Elephas maximus indicus: one gene and its partner. The protein of the gene in region 1 binds, or shares a complex with, the protein of each later gene. Links are inferred from orthologs where the notes say so. Each region holds a gene or a part of one and is shown on either strand. Other genes may lie near its edges.

Region 1 (10,109 bases):
GGCTACCTCATTTCTGGGGCCGGCGGAAACCAACTAAGCCAGACTTGTCTGGCCCAGAGCTGAGACGGATGGACAGCTCCCCAGAGAATTCAGGGAGTGACTGGGACAGTGCCCCCGAAACCCTGGGAGATGCAAGGCCTCCCCAGGCCAAGGACTCAGGGACACGGAAGAGCTCTGGGACTGCTCCAGAACCAAGCAGGGCCCCCTCAGTTGCTCAGCTGGGGAGCAGAAGAATGGATTCTCTCAAGTTGGACAAGGCTGTCACTGGTACTGAACAGACTGGGAGACTGGAGGCTGGAGGGGCCGTTGCCAAACTGGGACAGGATCCTCTAGACTCATGTGGTGCCAGGAGAGCCGGGGTGCTCCCTGAAGGGGGACTGAACCCCCGTGGGCCTGAAGCCCCAGTGGAGAAGCCAGGTCGGCGTCAGAAACTACTGGGCTGGCTGCAGGGGGAATCAGGTGGTGGTGTAGGGGCTCCCCTGCCATACCTGGGGGACCCAGAGGAACGTCTGCAGATCTCCACCAACCTGACCTTGCACCTGCTGGAGCTGTTGGCCTCAGCCCTGCTGGGGCTGTGCTCCAGGCCGCTGCGGGCAGCCTTGGACGCATTGGGTCTGCGCGGGCCACTGGGTCTCTGGCTGCATGGGCTGCTGTCCTTCCTGGCTGCCCTGCATGGGCTGCATGCTGTGCTAAGCCTCCTTACTGCTCATCCCCTGCACTTTGCCTGCCTCTTTGGCCTCCTGCAGGCCCTGGTGCTGGCTGTCAGTCTCCAGGAGCCCAGCAGGGATGAGGAGGGCACTGACTGGGAGGGTGAGAGGTTGGGGAAGGAGGGCGAGGAGCAGAGGGGAGATCCGGGAAAGGGGCTGTGACCATGGGGTGGGGTGTGACCCAGGACCCCACCCTCAGTGAGATGGGGGCAAGTAGTGAAGATGGTGTGGCCTTCAGGAAGAGAGTAGGGGGCATGACCCAGATCGGGAACATAGGAACCTCAGGGATGGGGAAGAAAACCCAAGGCATGAGGGCACAGAGCCCTCTTCACACACAGGAGAGAACAGAGCAGCTTTAGGGTTTCTGTGTTTATGGATGGTGGGGCATCGCCCTTGGATTCACCAGCTGTTGTAACTTTTTACTTTTACATTTCTCTCAGTTCCATTTAAAAAAAAAGGGGGGGGGGGAGAGGGCGGGATAAATACTAAAGGGTTTTTTCTATCTTTCATAACTCCCCAAGGGTGGAGGAGACCAGAAGTAGGACAGACAGACCCCTGAGGTAAGAGGATGGTCAAGGGATCTCCTGCATCCAGGGATCTCAGCCATCTTGGAAGAGCAGGCTGCTCGGCAGGTGGATTGGAGCATCTGGATAGGGGCCCACAGGGGATAGGGAGCCTGCAGGAATCTTCACGGGGTACGGAAGGAGCAGGGGTGGTGCAGGCAGGTCAGACAGGCAGCATAGGGGAGACACTGGAGTTTGCAGTTCCACTTTAGTTAGGAGTTTGCTCACTCAGCAATAAATTGTGTCACACCAAATCCTAAATATACCACTACAAAGTGAGAGTTACCACCACTCAGTGTCCTTCCTGACGTCGTCCAGCTGGGGGTTTAGTGGGAGTGTTGAAATGTGCAGAGTAGGATTGATATCTGGAGACAAACCCCAGAATGAGGACTGGAAAATCATCTTTATTATTCTCGAAAGGGAGTTGGAAGTCTCTAGCTAGTCTCCTCCCACCCACCACCATCACAGCTCCCACAGTATCCGTCTGGGGGCACAGATGAAGCCACAGGTCAGTTATTGGACAGCTCACAGGCCTCTGGCAGGAGGGAGGAAAAAAAAAAAGATGGAAAGGAAGAACAGGGAGAGAAGCAAAATTGGTGGTAATGAAGAAGGGAAGAATGCGTTCCTTTATTCCGCCATGTTCCTTTTTTCCAAAAAAGGATCTCTGAGGACTTTTTCCCTCCATGACTGACCCTTTACCCATGCAAACTCAGAAACCCCTCTTTTGAGTAGCCCAGAGTCCAGCCTGGGTTCCTCAAGTGACATCACAGCCCTTGGCCACCTGCCTCTGGTGCCATCATAGCCTATGACACAAATGGGAGTGTCAACATAGCCATTCTGATGATGTCAGCTTTGGCCATGTCGTCCTATGATGTCACATGAGCCCCTTTCATCCAGCACTCCCAGAAGACTTGCTCAGTCCTAGTCCTCTACTTTAGGACTTTAACCCCTCACCTTGATCCCTGGGCATCAGTAAGAAAGCCTTGGAATCCATGCAGGAGGTCAGGGACTGGAATTCCTCCACACATTTCTCGGGAGGGTGTGGTGAGCGATCTAGAAGGGCAGAGCAGGGTCAGGCTAGTTGAGCCCCTGCTCCTCAGCACAGCCCCTGGTGAGGGCCTCATGGAAGCACTCAACCCTCCCTGGAGTCATATCATAGGGCCCAGAGTGAGGGGCCCTCCTGCCCTCTCTGATCCTTCCTGCTTTGCACCCCACTCACTATAGAGGAGGAAGCGCTGGTAGCCCTGGCCCATCTCTTTCAGCATGATTCCACCTGGGCATGAACTGGAGAAGAGCTCGGTTTTCATGTCAGGACGGCCTGTGAGGGTGGGTGGGAGGAGGGGGCGAGGAGAGAGATGCAAAACCAAGCAAGCCTAGGGGACTTGGGGAGGGTCAGGGGACTTGGGGAACCAACCTTCAGTTCTGAGATGAGTGCTTTCCTCAGTCAGGTGGTAGGTCCATTTCCGGGGCACACAGAGCCCATTTTTCCTGCATAGGTGGTAGTGGCATGGAGGAGAAACCGAGTGACACCCCGGCCACACAGCATCTGCCTCCATTTATTCCATCTTATTCCTCCTTGAAGCCTGGATCTCCTTGGGTTTCAGGCTACCAAGGGATGGTTAGGTCCATCTCTCTCTGTCAGAGGGAAACTAATACAGCTTTTGAACCAAGTGGGCCAAGAACAGTGAATGTATCAGCCAAGAGCACAGCTCTTGGTGGTGGGTGCTCACACTTTGGTCAGAGACTGCACCCACTGGTGCCTCTGCCTCCTCATCACTCACGTTCGGATGGTAGCATGAAGCTGGAGCTGTATCGGGGTAGAGGCAGCAGCCATGTTGAAGACAATGTTGTCCACAGGGTCAAAAGTTGCCAATTCTTCCCTGGTGGGAGCTGCCCCTGCGATAAAGTACCACCGGCCAAGGTGGGGCTCTGGGAACTGGAGAGACAATGAGGGGAGCAAAAGAGGGTGGGTCCCATAACAGGATCCATTCAACCTCTTCATCAGCCAGTAGGAGAAGACTTAGGGGTAGGGTGTGGGCTGTTTTCCTCTTTCTAATTGGGTAATGGATCTATCACACAGAGTCATCAATGACATTTCCCCTTTGCTCCTCCCCAATCAACCTGGCTAACCAAGCCCACTCCCAATTCTGCCATGTCTCCACATCGATGACTACAGTCCTAGTATTTTTCTTATTCTTGCTTTCATCATCCCAACATTTATACCCTCTTCCTACTCTCCTTTCCCAACATGGCTTCTAGTCATCCTAGGCCACCCAGCTGAGTCCCTGAGAGCCTCTATCATAGGCTTCCCTCATTCCCAGTCTGTACCTCTTTCCCATCCATTCCTAGAGTTGTCAGTTGACTGTGCTCAGGGCACTGGTAGATGGAGTTAAGGAGAATTCCATAGAGGTAGAGCAGAGCTGCCCAAATTTGGTGGAACATCTTCAGGCAGGAGGGAGCCGATGCCCTGTGTGGGGTGGCTGGTGCCTTAACTGCTCTCTCCCCTGCTGGCTGCTCAGTCTACTCTACTCCCAGCCCCCTTGCCTTGACCCTTGACCCTTTCACCTGCTAATGAGTAACTTCAACCTTGTTTTCCAACCCAAGTCTGGATTTGGACCTTCCTCCCCCTCCTCTAGATGCAGCCACTCCACAGTATACCCTGGTATGTTCAGGGTCTCTCGGGAGTTATGAGAGCTTGGGTTTTCAATCCGCATCTGAGCTGGATATCTGCTATGTTGTGCAGCAGTGAAGTGGGGTTGCTTTCATTCCTTCACTTAGCAACCTGTTTTGAGTCCCATTTGTTTGCCAGGAACTGGCTAAGCCCTGGGGACATAAGGATGGATAAGACATAGTCCCTGGCCTTGAAGAAGTCTGGGGAAAACCAGCTGTACAAACAAATCATTGCAATACAACCTGATAAGTGCTTTAGAGCAGGTATGAACCAGGTACTGGGGTGGGATGGGTGGGAGACTTTCTCTCTGCAGGAATTTGTAATTGGGGAAACTGTATCTTTGTAAAAGTTTGCTGACAAAATGGGTTCATTCACTGACCTTTATTGCTAAGCAAGAGGCTATATAATCTAACGGGTAAGAGAAAAGACTTTGGTGTTAGGAGGACCTGGGTTCAACCCCCAACTCTAGTTATTAGACCTTGAGCAATTTTATTAATCTCTGTGCCTGTTTCTTCATCTGTAAAATGGGCACATATGAATTTCATAGGGTTAAATGAGATGATATACATAAAGACCAGCAAACGCCGGCATGTGGTAAGCTCAAAGTAAATTACTAACCATAATTAATGGTAATGTCTGCAAGAAGTAGTAATTAAATAGTGCCAAGTGGGTGGTGCAGAGTTAATGCAATGAGAGGTGGGGCTTCTCTATAACACGCAGACTGCAAAAAAAAAAAAAATTGTCCTCAGCAATGAGGGTTGCTGTGGGATTGTGATTTAGTTAAAAAAAAAGAAACAAAAAATAATCTGGGTGATGGGTATATGAGTGTTCATTATACTATTCTACTTGGGTATGTTTGAAACTTTTTATAGTAAAAAAAAAAAAAAAAATACAATTTATTGGGGTAGCAAAGTGTAAGTGCTGGAGCCGGAGTCTGGCAGGCCTAGGACTGATTGTCAGTTCTGCCACTTATGTTCGCCTAGGTGTACTCACCTATAAAACAGATGTAATATCTCAGACGAAAAATTTACTGTGACCACAGTACGTGAAATTTTAGTATATTGCTTGACACTAAGTGCTCACTAGACAGATCTTATTAGACCTCTTCATTTGGGACTTGGGTATGTAAAAACTATAAATTTTGGAAAAGCACCCCCTGAGGCAGGCATCTCAGCAACAAGGGGTTTAGCTGGACGGGTCGTACCGTCGCAGGGCCGAAGACCCTGCCCTTGGGGGAAGGGCAGAGAGGAGCAATAACTCAGGCAGCCCTGGCCTGCCAAAACCGTTTGGGTCAGAGTTTCGTCTTTCGGTCCCATCTGACTCCATTTGCCACAATTCCCAAACTTGGACGGGTTTCTTGACAAAATTCCCGAAAGGTAGGGCAGCATCCTTAACTTTCCGAAAGGATGGCGTGTCCCCTCGGCCGCGAAGCCCACGGTAAGGAACATGGCGCCCGGACCCCACAAAATGCCCACCGGATAGAACTGAGGACCGACGAACGATAGGACCTCACGCAACAGAACGGACAATACGCGAGTCGCCACCAACCGCCTGCGGAAAGGTAACTTGCTGAGGCGCCGAAGGGCGCAGCGAGGTCTACACTGACTGGAAGGCAGGGTTTTAGGTGGCCAGAGCAGTGCCGCCTGAAATTCTCTGCCTGCCAGGACTTTAAAATAGATTAAATGAGGCATAGTCTCAAATACTCAAACTTCAAGAGCCATGCAACAGTCCAAAGCGTCTCTCCAGGCAGTCGTACAGTTCCAGATAGTAATTTATTTTCAGGCATTTATCGTGGCCACCTCAACCTTTGATCGCTCAAACGCACGAACATGAGAAGCGGGGGGTGGGGACGTGCTTAAGGACGTACGCATGCGTACTGCAACTCACGCAGGCGCAGTACGGTCCCCCGGGCGACGGCCGTGGCGGATCCTCGGGGTGCTCGGCTCCTTCCCATCTAGGCCGCCCCCGGCCCGTCTCGCCCCCAGGGATCCATTCCGTTGGGGGCCGCGGACTTTCTCGTCGTGCCCCACAAAAGGAAAGTTTGGGGACCTGGGGGGAGCCGGAAGTACCGCCTTGCGATCCCCAAATACTATCGGGGAAACGGAAGTGGCCGTCGGTGGCAGGTTGGGAAGACCGGAAGTGACGGTACCTTGGAGAAGTCGGGGGTGGAGCTGCGGGGAAGTGTGTATGTGAGAGTGTGTGTGTGTTTGTATGTGTGTTTGGCTGTATGTCGATTGTGCCGCTCTGCTGGATCGCCGAGGGAAGGCGGAAGACGGGGGGCTATCAGCTAGCCGGTCCCGCCCCCCGTGAGTGTCTGCCGTCTGTCGTGACTTAGGCGGGTTCGATGGGCGTGGCGCGCGTGCGCGAAGCTATTTTCTCCGCAGTGTCTGGCGCGACCCCCGCTCTCGCAGTGTCCCAGGGTTTGCCGATCCCTAGGGCCCTTGTCCTATTGCGACCGGTGATGACACTGGTCTCGTGCTTCCTCCCCTGCTTTCTAATCCGACTGGCCCTCGTTATTGTGATTGGCGTCTTGGAGCCCCTCCCACCTCCCGTCCTCCAGCTCCCTTTGCCGTCGATCCCTTGCCCTTTGTGTTTCTCTGCCCCGGAATCGGAAGGGGGATGGGGGCGGGTGTGAGTGCGAGTGCTTGTGTGGGAGAAACTTTTTAGATATTGGGGCGGGGACTCAGGCTGGGGAGGCTTCCGGGTATATAAAATCTGCTCCAGGCTACAGCGGATCTCCCTCCATTCTTCCCTAGAGAACTGTCGGCCATGGAACCCAATGATAGTACCAGCACCACTATGGAGGAGCCTGACAGCCTGGAGGTGCTGGTGAAGACCTTGGACTCTCAGACTCGGACCTTTATTGTGGGGGCCCAGGTGAGACCCTGTTGCTGTTGGAAGACATTGATTAGCTTTTTCTTATAGGCTCCTTAGCCTGAGGGAAGAACCTGATTTTCTCGTCCCCCAAATTTTCTGACATTGATTTGTTTGTTGGTATTTTATACAAAACGTTTCTGGTGTTTCTCGTTGAATGAGAAGGTAGAGTTTCTGATGAGTGAGGCACATTTTCTGCCTTACTCTTTTTCTTTAGAACTCATTGCAGAGGGAAATACAGAGGAAGGGGCCATCTGTATCCCATCATTGTAGGTGATCGTCAGCCCAAAGGGGCAGCCATAGCTCAAACAACACACGGACCCAAAACAGAAGTGTGCTTTAAGAACAAAAATTGGCCAGGTGTATACCGTGTCTTTAAGGCTAGAAATCAGAGCTAATAATGAATGTAGAGCTCATATAGACTGCTGGGTGGAATTATGAATGTGGCATACTTTTAATTTCTTGAGTTTAATATCACGGATACAGCTACCTGTGTTTTTACTCCGGTGATACTTGGAGACAAAATTGTGACTGAGTTGGTTCATGGGTGTTTAAAACATTGTACTCCATGAGTATTTAAGAAAACCACGTAGATTTTTGAGGTTAGATGTCACGTAAACATTTTGGTGTTTCCTAGAGTTGTTTAGTTATGAAAAATGTTTTGTTTTTTGTTTCCTTCTTGCTTACTTCTTGGTTGGATCTTCCCTTCTTAACCTTCACCCATCTTCTTTGTCATTTCTCTTATTTTTGAGATTACAGGGTTGTCTGTGGTAAAGAAACTTCTGGTATCATTTTGTGTTTCGGGAAGGGTGATCCCCTCTGGCATCTTGAGACACACGTTCCCTTGGGAGTCAAGCATAAAAAGAGAGAAAGGAATGTCAGTTGGTTTTTCTGTTTTTCAGCTATGTAATTCTTTTCTGGGCATATAACCTGAGCTTATCTGAGTTTGTTGTCTGTGTCTTGATATATTTTGTCTGTATCTGTTCTCAGAAATTTGCATGGTAACTATCTCACAGTCAACATAGGTAGTGATTTTATTACGGTTTTTGCTCCTTATCTGGGCATGAGTCAGTTGTCACTCCTCTGTTCCTTCTTCCTCCCTCCATTTCCTGATTCCTATTCTTATCTTTTCCTCCTTGCAGATGAATGTAAAGGAGTTTAAGGAACACATTGCTGCCTCTGTCAGCATCCCCTCTGAGAAACAAAGGCTCATCTACCAGGGCCGTGTTCTGCAGGATGATAAGAAGCTCCAGGAATACAGTAAGGGGGTGGGGGATGGCAACTCAGAGGTTGAAGCTGGTGTGCAGAGTGATGTGCTGACATTATGGCTTTACCTGATGTTTTGGTGTGTGTCTATCTTTTTGCACCACAGATGTTGGAGGAAAGGTTATCCATCTGGTGGAACGGGCTCCTCCTCAGACTCAACTCCCTTCTTCTGGGGCATCTTCTGGGACAGGGTCTCCCTCTGCTACCCATGGTGGGGGACCCCCACCTGGTACTCGGGGTCCTGGGGCCTCTGTTCATGACCGGAATGCGAACAGCTATGTCATGGTTGGAACCTTCAATCTTCCTGTAAGCTTGTGTTCCACTTGGGAGGGTTTTTTTGGGTAAGGGTAGATTTGGTTGTGGTAGTAGCAGGGCGCTTGTAAGACAGGCGTCTTAGTCTATAGATTGAGTTTGGAGGCTCCTTTGGTCTGATATTGGCCTCAATCTTTGAAGGGAAAGGGGGCGGGGCTCCAGAGAATGAGTTGAAAGTATGGGGGCCTTAGTATTTGGCTTCTCCCAGAGCAACTTCACTTACCCTTTCCCCAGAGTGACGGCTCTGCTGTGGATGTTCACATCAACATGGAACAGGCCCCGATTCAGGTATCACGGGGCCTGGGAGGGTCAGGGAAGGGGATCTGGGAGAAGGAGGCCTTGAGGTGGGGTGGAGATGGCTGGGACCTCGTTTAGTAGGCGGTGGAGCTCATGGCTTCATCTCAGACCTGCCCTGATCATCCCTTCTCTTGCCATAGAGTGAGCCCCGGGTACGGCTGGTGATGGCTCAGCACATGATCAGGGATATACAGACTTTGCTATCCCGGATGGAGGTAAGCAGGCAGGGCTGGCTAGTGTGTGTCTGTCTCTCTCTGTGCATCCTCTTTCTGTCATCCTGGGGATGGGGGCATGACTGGCTATATCCACTGCTTCCCTAATCTGGTCTCTTTTTTGCAGTCTTCATTCTTTCAAGCAGAAAAAGTATCTTTGTGGGGCTATCTTGTCCCTGCTAGTCTTCTTGGCATCTAATATCTGGGGAGTTTGTTTCAGACTTTTTAGATAATTCTGACGGTCTCTGTTTGTTCCATTAAAAAAAGGTTCCGCCTATTTTAGTTTATTTATTACTTTTAACATCAGAACGTTTTAACTCCGTTAGTTTGAATTGCAGCTGTAATTTGTCGCCTGTTCTTCTTTTGTCCTGGAGATACAAAAACTAGTCTGTACTTTTTGTTAGTAGCTTATTTACGAATCTTATAAATATTTATTATGCTCCTGATTTGTGTCTTTTACTAGTTCCTGGGGAGTCAAAAATGTAGACACAAAGCTTTGCCTCCAAAAAACCTAGTTAGAGCATGTTCTCTGCTCAGTCTCTTTTGACCCGAGTAATGCTCTGCAGTAGTCTCATCCTGCCTTTGGTGTCCTGACTCTCCTCCACCTTCAGTGTCGAGGGGGGCCCCAAGCCCAGCACAGTCAGCCGCCCCCACAGACGCCGACTGCCACCCCGGAGCCAGTAGCCTTGAGCTCTCAAACATCAGAACCCGCCGAAAGCGAAGCCCCTCCTCGGGAGCCTATGGAGGCAGAAGAAGTAGAGGAGCGTGCCCCAGCTCAGAGCCCAGAGCTCACCCCTTCTGGTCCAGCCCCTGCGGGGCCAACACCTGCCCCAGAGACAAATGCACCCAAGTGAGAGAGGGCACCCAGCAGGGGTCCTAAATGAAATATGGGAACTAAGGTGTGATGGGAGGGAAGGATTGCTTGGAGATATTGCTTGTGAGATCAGCTGTGAGGGGCAGGGGGCATTCTGGTTGTAGGTAAAAGGGATGAGACTGGCAGCTGAGCAGAGGCACTGCTGTCCCTGGGGCAAGGAAATCCTAATGGTGCCACCTGAGCCTGTTCTAAACTCTCCCCCCAGTTCACATGGCCTTATCTCTGCTTTTCAGTTAGTTTCTTACCCTTGAAGGTACAAGAGTGTGCAGTGGGGAGGGTGGGCGCAGTTCTTTTTCCTCTCCCAGTCTTCTCCAGGTGGGGCCAAAGCACAGA
Region 2 (9,183 bases), on another chromosome or scaffold:
TGTTACTGGAGGCCCTTCCTACAAGGCAGGAGGCATGCATGCCCCTCAGGGTCACCACTGTGACCCTTTACATAGTACAGTGGCGGGTCTCCCATCTGAGTCCTGAAGTACCTTTTGTTGTTTCGGCTCTTGCTATCATTTGTTCCATCTGTTCTCCTTTGGAACTGGACATCCTTGCCTAATTTGTGGAGCCCTTCCTCAGTCTCTTCTGGGGCAAATGGCTAATCTTATAAAGCAATACGAACATTCTCTTGCGTTTAACCGTTCCCTTTTCTTACAGGGAAGGCTGAATGATTGGCAGTAATGAGGAGCAGTCTTCTGACTGTGCATTTGACCTTGACCCCTGACAGGAAAACTGGTGTTGGTGGTTTTAGGTTTTCCTTCTGTAGAGCATGGCTCATCTTTTGGTCACGGGCATATATCCACTTACCCAGCCCCTTCTCCCTCCTGGGGCCAGTTTACCCCATCCTCCAACAGCCCCCATCCCACTGCCCACCTTCCAAACTGCAGTCTTCAGCCACAGGATGTGCCTAACTCAGCCCTCTCACCTGCCCCAGCTCTAAGTACTACCTGCTTCTGGCAGCCCTCAGCCACATTTGTAAGGAACAGTACGAACGTTCCAGGACAACTGCACACAAATGGTTCACGCCTTACTGGTTCTCAGAGCCTAAAGAACAGCCTCTGAATGTTTTTGATCACCCATATAAGTCAAATCTTTTTGAGCATGCACCCCCAGTGTGTGCCCATGTGTTTATGTATTATAGGCGGTACTAAGTTTAATTTTATAATTCACACAAAGTAAATGTTTACAGATTAAATGAAAACTCTGTTTTCTTTGAACATTTACAATGGTGTGTCTTGTGTACCTCCTGGAGCTAAGCGTCACCGACTTTGGGGACCGTTAGCCTCCATCATAGCAGTTACGAGAGGCTCCATCAGAGCAGTGTAGCTTGTTCATTCGTGTGCAGGCTGATTCAAGTTGCCCTGGCAGCCTTTGGGAACATACAAATCCCCTTTGACTCTGACTTGTTTACTGTCTCCCGGCAGCTTCTGTACACCCTCTCACTACCTTTTTCCCCATCCTTATGCCATCTGTTTCTTCCACTCCTTTTCACTGAAGCCTCTGGACCTTGCTGGTCGTACCAAATGGTTTCGAAGGTGAACAATTCCTGGGAGTCCATTTAATGACCCACAATGTGGGAATAGGCGCTCGGTCAATACTTGAACGAATGAAGCGGAACTCCGCACAAAGGCTGGGCACCCTGAAGCCCGGGCCCTCCGCGACCGCCTCTCCGTGCCCTTGGCAGCAGTCCCCGAGTCTGCCGAGCCTTGCTAACGTCTAACCCCGTGTCCCACCACCCCCAGAAGCCGCAGAGTGCTTGAAAATGACCGGGACCCCTTCCCGGAGCAAGTGCCCCTGGCGGCGCCCAGAAAAGGTTCAGACACACGGTCCGGGGGCCGAAGGAGGCCGCGCCCGGCGCCACCAGGTGACAACATGGCAAGCCGCCAGTACCGCCCGCCAGTCCTGGGCCCGAAAGCCCGCTCTTCATCGCGGGCCGCCGCGCCACTCCCCAAAACGTCACATCCGGTGGAAACCCAACCCGGAAGCGAACGGTGAACGGTGGGCCGTGAGGTGGGCGTGGCCAGGAGCCGCGCGGGGCGTGGCCCTGGTGGGCGGGGTCGGTTGGGGCGGGGCCGTGGGCGGGGCCCTGGCGGGCCGAGCTCGCAGGCGTCCGGCTGGCTGGGCAGGCGCTGGCGTCGAGCTCCGCGGGCGCGGCAGGTGAGAGCCTCAGGCCGGGAAGGGTCGGGCAGGAGGTGGCCTGTGGCCTCTGGCCCAGCCCGGTTGCGCGCTGGCTCCAGCGCCAGGGGCCGGCGGGGAAGGACCGGACGCCGCGCATTCGCTAGGCCTGGCGTGGCCGTGCGTCCTGGGGGTCAGGCGAGGTTTCCTTTGCCCTCGGGGCCACCCGGGAGGCCCCCAACCTGCCGGCTGCGGGACGGCCGCGCGCTCCTTCCCTCCCTGGTTTGCGCCCACGAGTGAGAAGCAGCTCTGCTCATGGAAAATGAGACAACTTCCGGACTTCCAGGTAGGGAGGAGCCCTGAGACCATCACTGCCAACTAGCCCTCAACACTGAAAACCCGTGTGGACAAAGCCGTCCGGGGTCGAGATCCATACCCCGCCCTGGGGTGCATTCTGGTCAAACTCTTCCGGCCCTGCAGCAGAAATGGTTTAGGGTCTGAGCTGAACCTCTGTTGCGGTGACTTAAAGCTGGTAGCTGTATTGGTGTATTGGGAAGACGGGGGCCTGGGAGCCTTTATCTTTTTCCTCTAAATCCCTCCAGTTTCCTTCTCATGCCCCCATCTCTGTGTTCCTGCATCCCTCTTTTCTGGTGGGACGCAAGGCTGGACCAAGGCCTCCAGGGTAAGTGCCTGAAGCTCCCAAACCAGCAGAGCCCATGTCATCCTGGGGGACGCTTTTCCAAGGACCAGTCTTTTGCCTAAGCTGCCCTCCACTTCCCTCTGTACCCAGACTGGTGGGGTGGGGGGGTGAGGAAGGGGAAGCAAGGGCCAAACACTACTAGGAACTAGAGAAGCCAGTGGCTCTGCCAAGGTGTGAAGCAACCAGAAGTAGCGATGCAAAACTGCTGTGTTGCCCCAGTTGTAGCAGGTGATGCAACAATATTCACCATGAGGCACCCTTCACCCCAGTGCACTCACAGACACACTGGTAGTGAGAGATGCTGGTGGGGGCACATGTGGGGGTGGGAGACTAGCCTCCGAGCACAGCTTTCCAAATATGAGGTTGCGACTCCAGTAGCCATATTTGGAGACTGCCAGAGGAGTAGGAGCTCTGTCCAGAGGAGGGGAAGCTCCTCAGCAGACATGTGACCCTATTTGACCCCTTCCTGCTGCTTCTTCCAGCAAGTTCCTTGGGGGAAGGGGACCTGCTCCTCCTCAGGACTCCCTTCTCACCACTGCCAGCAGGCAGGGCAGGCCAGGTAGTCATGCCAGCCCCTTTCCCAACAGAGCACTGGTGGCAGACAAAAGCCTCTGGGGCCTTCCACCTGCCCACACTGTTCTGCTGGCCTCTGTGCCTAGCCTGAGGCACTCCAACTCCCTGGCCTGTTCTCAAGCGCTCCCAGATCAGGCTCAGTCAGCACCCTTTGCTCTCCTCAGGCGGGCCTCCTGGTCATCCCCAAGCAGTGTTTCGGGATCACATCCAGTTGTGGTATCACAGCAAGCCCACTGTCACTGTGTTTCGGAGCCCATGGGGATTAAACAGGCCTTGTATGTGGTGCTAGTGGTGACAGGCCTGGGGGTGGCTCTCCTCGAACCCACTGGAATCGGGGCATCTCTACGCTGCCCCTGGAGGGGCAGAGAGGGCATGTCCAGGGAAATTAGTAGTTATCAGCGGCTGACAGTAACTCATATCTGTAGCTGGACCCTCTGGGCAAGGGATGGGGGGCCACACTAGCATGTGGGAAACTTGAGGCAGCTGTGTTGGGGGAGGGGACAGCCGAATGGCACTTAAGGGCCAGCATCAAGCATTGCCCTTCTGTTCCTGGGCTTGACGCAAGAGGCTCTGCTAAGGCTTCCAGATCCCTATGCTACCACTCCCAGAGGGCCAAGTCTCACAGGCTCATGCTGCTGTCCGTCACCAGCCTCCTCTCTGTGTCCTTTCTCTCCTCAGGGAGAGCTCTGCCATCCAGGAAAGCAGCCCAGTACCTGGACTTGCCCATGGACTGTTCTCAGGACCAGCCGACGGTACAGGCTGGGGAGCCCTCCTAAGCTGCAGAGAACCCTGGTGCATGGTCCTTCAGGAGAAGCCATGGTGTTAGAGAGGCCTGGCCTGGGCAGGGTGGGTGGCTGCCCAGGCCCCCTCAGTATGCTTCAGGCTGCCTTGCTTCTTGCCAGCCTGCCATGGAGAGTCCGAGGAACAGCCAGTGGCAACCTCAGCACAGCTCTGGGCCACACTGTACCACTGATGAGGGCCCACTACCTGAGCATTGGGGACGGCTCAGTGATGGAGTTTGAGTTCCCCGAGGAGAGTGAAGGCATCATCGTGATCTCAAGCCAGTACCCGGCTCAGAGCAATGGGACTAGGCTTGGCCCCACGCTCAGGGTCACCTCCCTGGACACAGCGGTGCTGACCATCAAGAACGTGAGTGCCGTAAGCTGGGGTGGTGGGGGTGGCTTTGTGGTGAGCATCCACTCTGGCCTGGCAGGGCTGGCACCCCTCCACCTGCAGCTCATGGACCTGCATAAGGCCCAGCCCCTGCTGATCGAGGAACGGAGTGATTTCTCCATCAAGGTCTTGCCTGCTGAAGACGCGCCAGCCACCCTCAGTGCTGACCTGGCCCACTTCTCAGAGAACCCAATACTCTACCTGCTCCTGCCTCTCATTTTCGTCAACAAGTGTTCGTTCGGGTGCAAAGTGGAGCTCGAGGTTCTGAAGGGGTTCCTGCACAGCCCCCAGCCCATGCTGCTGGGCCTCCTGGGTCAGTTCCTGGTCATGCCCTTCTATGCATTCCTGATGGCCAAGGTCTTCATGCTGCCCAAGGCCCTGGCCCTGGGCCTCATCATCACCTGCTCTTCGCCCGGGGGTGGCGGGAGCTACCTCTTCAGCCTCCTCCTTGGAGGAGATGTCACCCTTGCCATTTCCATGACTTTCATCTCCACGGTGGCTGCCACTGGCTTCCTGCCACTGTCCTCAGCTATTTACAGCCACCTTCTCAGCATCCATGAAACCCTTCACGTGCCCATCTCCAAGATCCTGGGGACGCTGCTGTTCATTGCCATTCCAATAGCAGCTGGTGTGGTGATCAAGTCCAAGCTCCCCAGGTTCTCCCAGCTGCTGCTGCAGGTCATCAAGCCCTTCAGCTTTGTGCTCCTCCTGGGTGGCCTCTTTCTGGCCTACCGCATGGGCATCTTCATCCTGGCGGGCGTCAGGTTCCCCATCGTGCTGGTGGGCCTCACAGTGCCCCTGGTGGGCCTTTTGGTGGGCTACTGCCTGGCCACATGTCTGAAGCTGCCTGTGGCTCAGCGGCGAACGGTCAGCATTGAGGTCGGGGTGCAGAACAGCCTGCTGGCCTTGGCCATGCTGCAGCTGTCCTTCCGCCACCTCCAAGCTGACTTTGCCTCCCAGGCCCCCTTCATTGTGGCACTGAGTGGCACCTCAGAGATGCTGGCTTTGGTCATGGGCCACTTCATCTATAGCAGCCTGTTCCCAGTTCACTGAGGCTCCGGGCCAAGCTTCTACCCCCCTCCCCACTCTCCGCAGTTCTCGCGTACCAAAGGCCTTCAGTGCTCATGCACTATGCACTTGGAAAATCCAGGCTTATTTTTTGTACTGATTTTGTATTCTTCAGCTTTCATTGCCAAAGAGGCCATGCTGAGTTAGGTAGGTGGGCACTGCCCAGAAATATATTTCAATAAAAGAGAGAAGCAAGTTTGGGTCCCTTCCAGTCTCTGCCCTTTGGGGCCTGGGGGTGGGAGTGAGGTAAGAAGAGTGTGGCTGGGGAGGTGTGGGCAAGAGTGGAGGGCCAACTTGGGTGACACCCTGCACCACGTGTGCTTGGGGGAGTTGGAAAGGAGGCTTCGTCCAGGTCTGTGGTTTATGAGCTTCAGGCTCTTTTTCTGTCAGCCCCCCACCCTCATGCCATCCTGTGAGAGGTGGGCCTCTCTCTGCTCTAGAATATGAGCGCCAGGGGGGATGAGGGCAGAGCGGGGCTACCCTGCCTGCTCTGAGCACAGCAGTTGGTTTTTCTGCAGCCAGACTAAAAGGAAGGTGGGACAAAACCGTCAGACAGGGGAGCAAGTGTGGACAGGACTTGTGGACACCTGTCCCCTCCCTGGCTGGGCTCACTGAGAGGCAGACTCTAGGTTTGCTACTGAGCTACTCCACCAGCAGTCGGAGCGTCTGGAGGGCCTGAAGTTCCACGGGGCGAGCTTACTCCCAGCCATTCCTTCTCCCAAGCCCCATCTCCCAGATGAAGCAAACTTGGCCAACTCATTCCCCTTTTCCACCCTGGCATACAGTACTGGCTGGCTGGCGTCAGCCTAGCTTCCCCGCACGGTAGCGGGGTGGAGGAGGAGGGCGGAGATCCGGCAGTCTGGACCGGCCCTGGGCGTGGGCAAAGCCAGACACCAGAGGAACTCCTCCTCCCGGAGTGGCAGAGGGTGGAGCGGGGCGCGCTGGCCGGAGGGGGCGGGGCGAGGAGGGGAGGCGGGGCGTGAGGGCCGGGGGCGGGGCAAGCGCGGAGGGGGCGGGCTAGGGTGGGGCGCACAGGGCGGTTCCGGCGCGCGCCCGGGGCGGTGGCGGTGGCGCGCGGCGGGGGGCCGTTGGGGTGCGCGTCAGTCGAAGTGGACACTGCCGCCGCCGCCGCCGCCGCCGCCGCCGCCGCCGCCGCCGCCGCCGCCATGCAGCTGACGGTGAAGGCGCTCCAGGGCCGAGAGTGCATCTTGCAGGTAGTGTCGCCAGGCCCGGTCCACCCTGCCCCACTCGTGCACTCACCGCCTTCAGGCGCGGGGACGGGAAGGGACCAGGGGCGGCGCCGGCTCGGGGAGGGGACAGGGCAGGTCGGCCAGCCGGGGCGGGGAGGCCTGGAGAGCTGAGTCCTGGAGGGGCCTGCGAGGGCTTCACAGCCCAGCGAACTGCAGGCTCAACCCCTGCCTCCCAAACTCGGTCCGCTCAGGTGTCAGAGGACGAGATGGTGTCCTCACTGAAGCTTCTGGTCTCCGAGCAACTGAACGTCCCTGTGCGCCAGCAGCGGCTGCTGTTCAAGGGCAAAGCCCTGGCAGGTACCAGGGGAGTGGAGACGCCCAGGGAGCCCCGCAGGAAGGCGGGGGTGGGGTGTCGAGAATGAGACTGGTGGCAGTGTGACGCTCCACAGCGAGGCGGCTATCAGTGCTGCCCGCACAGAGGGAGCCGACACACCGGCAGCAAGACACACTGCAGTGCCCTTGCTTGGGCTCACTTCCCTGGGCAACTACAGCAGCTGGAGGTAATGAACTTCATCAATTTCTCCTTGGCAGATGGAAAACGACTTTCAGATTACAGCATTGGCCCCAATTCCAAGCTCAACCTAGTGGTCAAGCCTCTGGAGAAGGTGTTACTGGACCAAGGCACTGCTCGGAGGCAGGCAGAGGTCCAGCCCCGACCACTAGCTCCACCCTCAGAGACTTGGCAGCTGATCGCCAAAGTTCTGGGCCGACACTTCAGCTCAGCAGATGCCAACAGGGTCCAGGAACAACTCCAGCGGGTGAGAATGTAGCCCCATAAGCCCAAACCTCCTCTGCCACTCCAGTGCCCCCTGCTCCAGCCTCTGCTGACTGCCCCCCCCCCCCCAGCCCAAATCCTCCTGGCCTTCTCTCCTCAGGAGTACGAGAGGTCCCTGAGCCGCCTGACGATGGATGACATTGAACGCTTGGCAAGCCGCTTCCTGAACCCTGAAGTGACCGACGCTACGGAGAAGGGGCTCTCCAAATAAGATCCTTGGCATGTGGGAGGAAGCATGGCTGCATGTTGCATTAAATGTGTTCTCGTAATGTTAACAAAATAAAAACAGCTGACTGGTACTGGCTCTTGCTAGGTGCCAGTCACTGTCAAAGCACTTGACCTGGGTTCACTCACCAACCCCTCACAAAAGTGTGACAACACCGGCTCATACCAGTGAAGGGGATGGGGGCAGAATCTGAGTCCAGCCACCTTCTAGAAGTGCCTCACAGTGGAGCAGGGCAAGTGGTTGTTTACAACAGTTACAAGGGCTGAGCTGTGGTGTTTCATGGGTAGCCTACTGAGAGTAAATTCTCCATCGACTCCCTCCCAGGCCTGAAAGGGGAGGCAGCTGATGCCTGGGGCTCAGTCCTGCCACCTGCCCTCTACTCAGCTTCACAGGAGCTGATGTGACACATGTCCTGGCATATGACAGCCAGCCTTGGGGCCTTCCTCAGAGCCGCTGCAACCCATGTGCTCTGATGAAGGAAAAGTAGATCGGGGCTCTGTGGTGTGACTTGGGGCATGTGCCTGTGCCATGCTGGGCCCCAGCCATCAGCTCTGCTCAGTGAGGGCCACTCCTCCAATCTGAGTCCATCTTCCTTCAACCTCACCCCAGCCCAGCAGGGGGGAATCTCTGCAGCAGTGCTTCCCCCTGGGTTTGATAAACTACTGAGGCCAAAAAGGAAGCAATGGCCAAGCATGGACCAGAGACGGGGTGTCCTGGCCCTTCATGTCACGGCTCTCCTCTGTCTCCTCCCAGAAGGGGTCAGTTCTCGCCCATGAGGGGTGACAGGTGACTTGCTTGAGGACACTCATCACAGCACGGAAGGTGCACGTGTGCAGGGCCTTCCCCTTTCCACGCCCCTCCTCCCCTGAAGAAGCGGGGACTGGGTGGCACCGGTTTCTCTCTCCTTCACCTTGCCCTGTCCAAGAGTGCAGAAGGTCATCTAAGCCCCGTTCCTTTGAGGAGGGCCCTGGGTGGTAGAGGCTGGAAGGAAGCCATGTGCATATGGAGACCCTGCTCCAGCCGCTGTCCCCCCTGGGGCTTCCCATGTCTCCATGCTCTTACAGCAGGAGGGTGGCTTAGGTGGGAACTCCCCGCCCAAGGCCCACGGGCGAAGGCTGTGAAGACCAGACCCAAGCCCCTGGACTACCCGAGGGCTGGGAGCAGAAACAGCATGCGTGGTCCAGCCACTCGTGAAAATGTGCCAATGCTTTCATTTTGTTTTAGGCAGCAAATTTATTTCAAAGGTTTAAATAACATTAAAGGTGGTTGAGATTTTTATTTTTATCCAAAGGGAACTATATTAGCTTGGCCGCCTTGAGTTCTATCTTAGCTATCTAGTGCCGCTATAACAGAAATACCACACCTGGGGGGCTTTAACAAGAATTGATTTTCTCACAGTTTAGGAGGCTGGAAGTACGAATTCAAGGTGCCGGCTTCAGGGGAAGGTCCTTGTCTCTTTGGCTTGTTTCCTGGCTCCTTGGACAGCTTCATGTGGCTTGGCATCTCTCTTCCCCCATCTCTGCTTTCTAGCTTGCTTGTTTAATCTCTTGTGTATCTCAAAAGAGATTGACTCAAGATACATCCTACACTAATCCTGTCTCGTTAACATAACAAAGACAACCCATTCCCAAATGGGATTAGAACCACAGGCATAGAGGTTAAGATTTACAACACAGATTT

What was found.
Region 2: the proteins of BAG6 (region 1) and UBL4A are in contact, whole or in part, in a crystal structure (PDB 4X86), measured with the Homo sapiens proteins. The link is inferred for Elephas maximus indicus from reciprocal best matches to the Homo sapiens genes BAG6 and UBL4A. Residues at the interface, in NP_001092004.1 of Homo sapiens: Gly1052, Pro1053, Leu1055, Leu1057, Ala1060, Val1061, Ala1064, Ala1065, Ala1067, Ala1068, Ala1070, Arg1071, Pro1072, Leu1073, Thr1074, Ser1078, Leu1079, Asp1082, Leu1083, Glu1087, Val1088, Ser1091, Tyr1092, Gln1095, Leu1096, Asp1099, Ile1100, Arg1103, Leu1104; in NP_055050.1 of Homo sapiens: Val95, Leu98, Ile99, Val102, Leu103, Arg105, His106, Phe107, Ser108, Asp111, Arg114, Val115, Gln118, Leu119, Asp122, Tyr123, Glu124, Ser126, Leu127, Ser128, Leu130, Ile135, Leu138, Arg141, Phe142.

Annotation. Positions count from the first base shown.
Region 1 is NC_064819.1:93,181,664-93,191,772, reverse strand, and holds the start of BAG6 (large proline-rich protein BAG6), read left to right. Parts: upstream 1-6,132; 5' UTR 6,133-6,152; coding exon 6,153-6,247; intron 6,248-6,697; coding exon 6,698-6,818; intron 6,819-7,957; coding exon 7,958-8,075; intron 8,076-8,187; coding exon 8,188-8,387; intron 8,388-8,627; coding exon 8,628-8,681; intron 8,682-8,830; coding exon 8,831-8,905; intron 8,906-9,513; coding exon 9,514-9,752; intron 9,753-10,109. Other genes in the region: C1H6orf47 (uncharacterized protein C6orf47 homolog), read left to right, coding at 1-869; APOM (apolipoprotein M), read right to left, coding at 1,780-1,805, 2,225-2,323, 2,490-2,588, 2,685-2,758, 3,052-3,206, 3,599-3,712. UniProt on the Homo sapiens protein: ATP-independent molecular chaperone preventing the aggregation of misfolded and hydrophobic patches-containing proteins.
Region 2 is NC_064846.1:1,933,281-1,942,463, forward strand, and holds UBL4A (ubiquitin-like protein 4A), read left to right. Parts: upstream 1-6,325; 5' UTR 6,326-6,418; coding exon 6,419-6,466; intron 6,467-6,693; coding exon 6,694-6,799; intron 6,800-7,033; coding exon 7,034-7,260; intron 7,261-7,377; coding exon 7,378-7,488; 3' UTR 7,489-7,627; downstream 7,628-9,183. Other genes in the region: SLC10A3 (P3 protein), read left to right, coding at 2,054-2,084, 2,341-2,420, 3,690-5,237. UniProt on the Homo sapiens protein: As part of a cytosolic protein quality control complex, the BAG6/BAT3 complex, maintains misfolded and hydrophobic patches-containing proteins in a soluble state and participates in their proper delivery to the endoplasmic reticulum or alternatively can promote their sorting to the proteasome where they undergo degradation.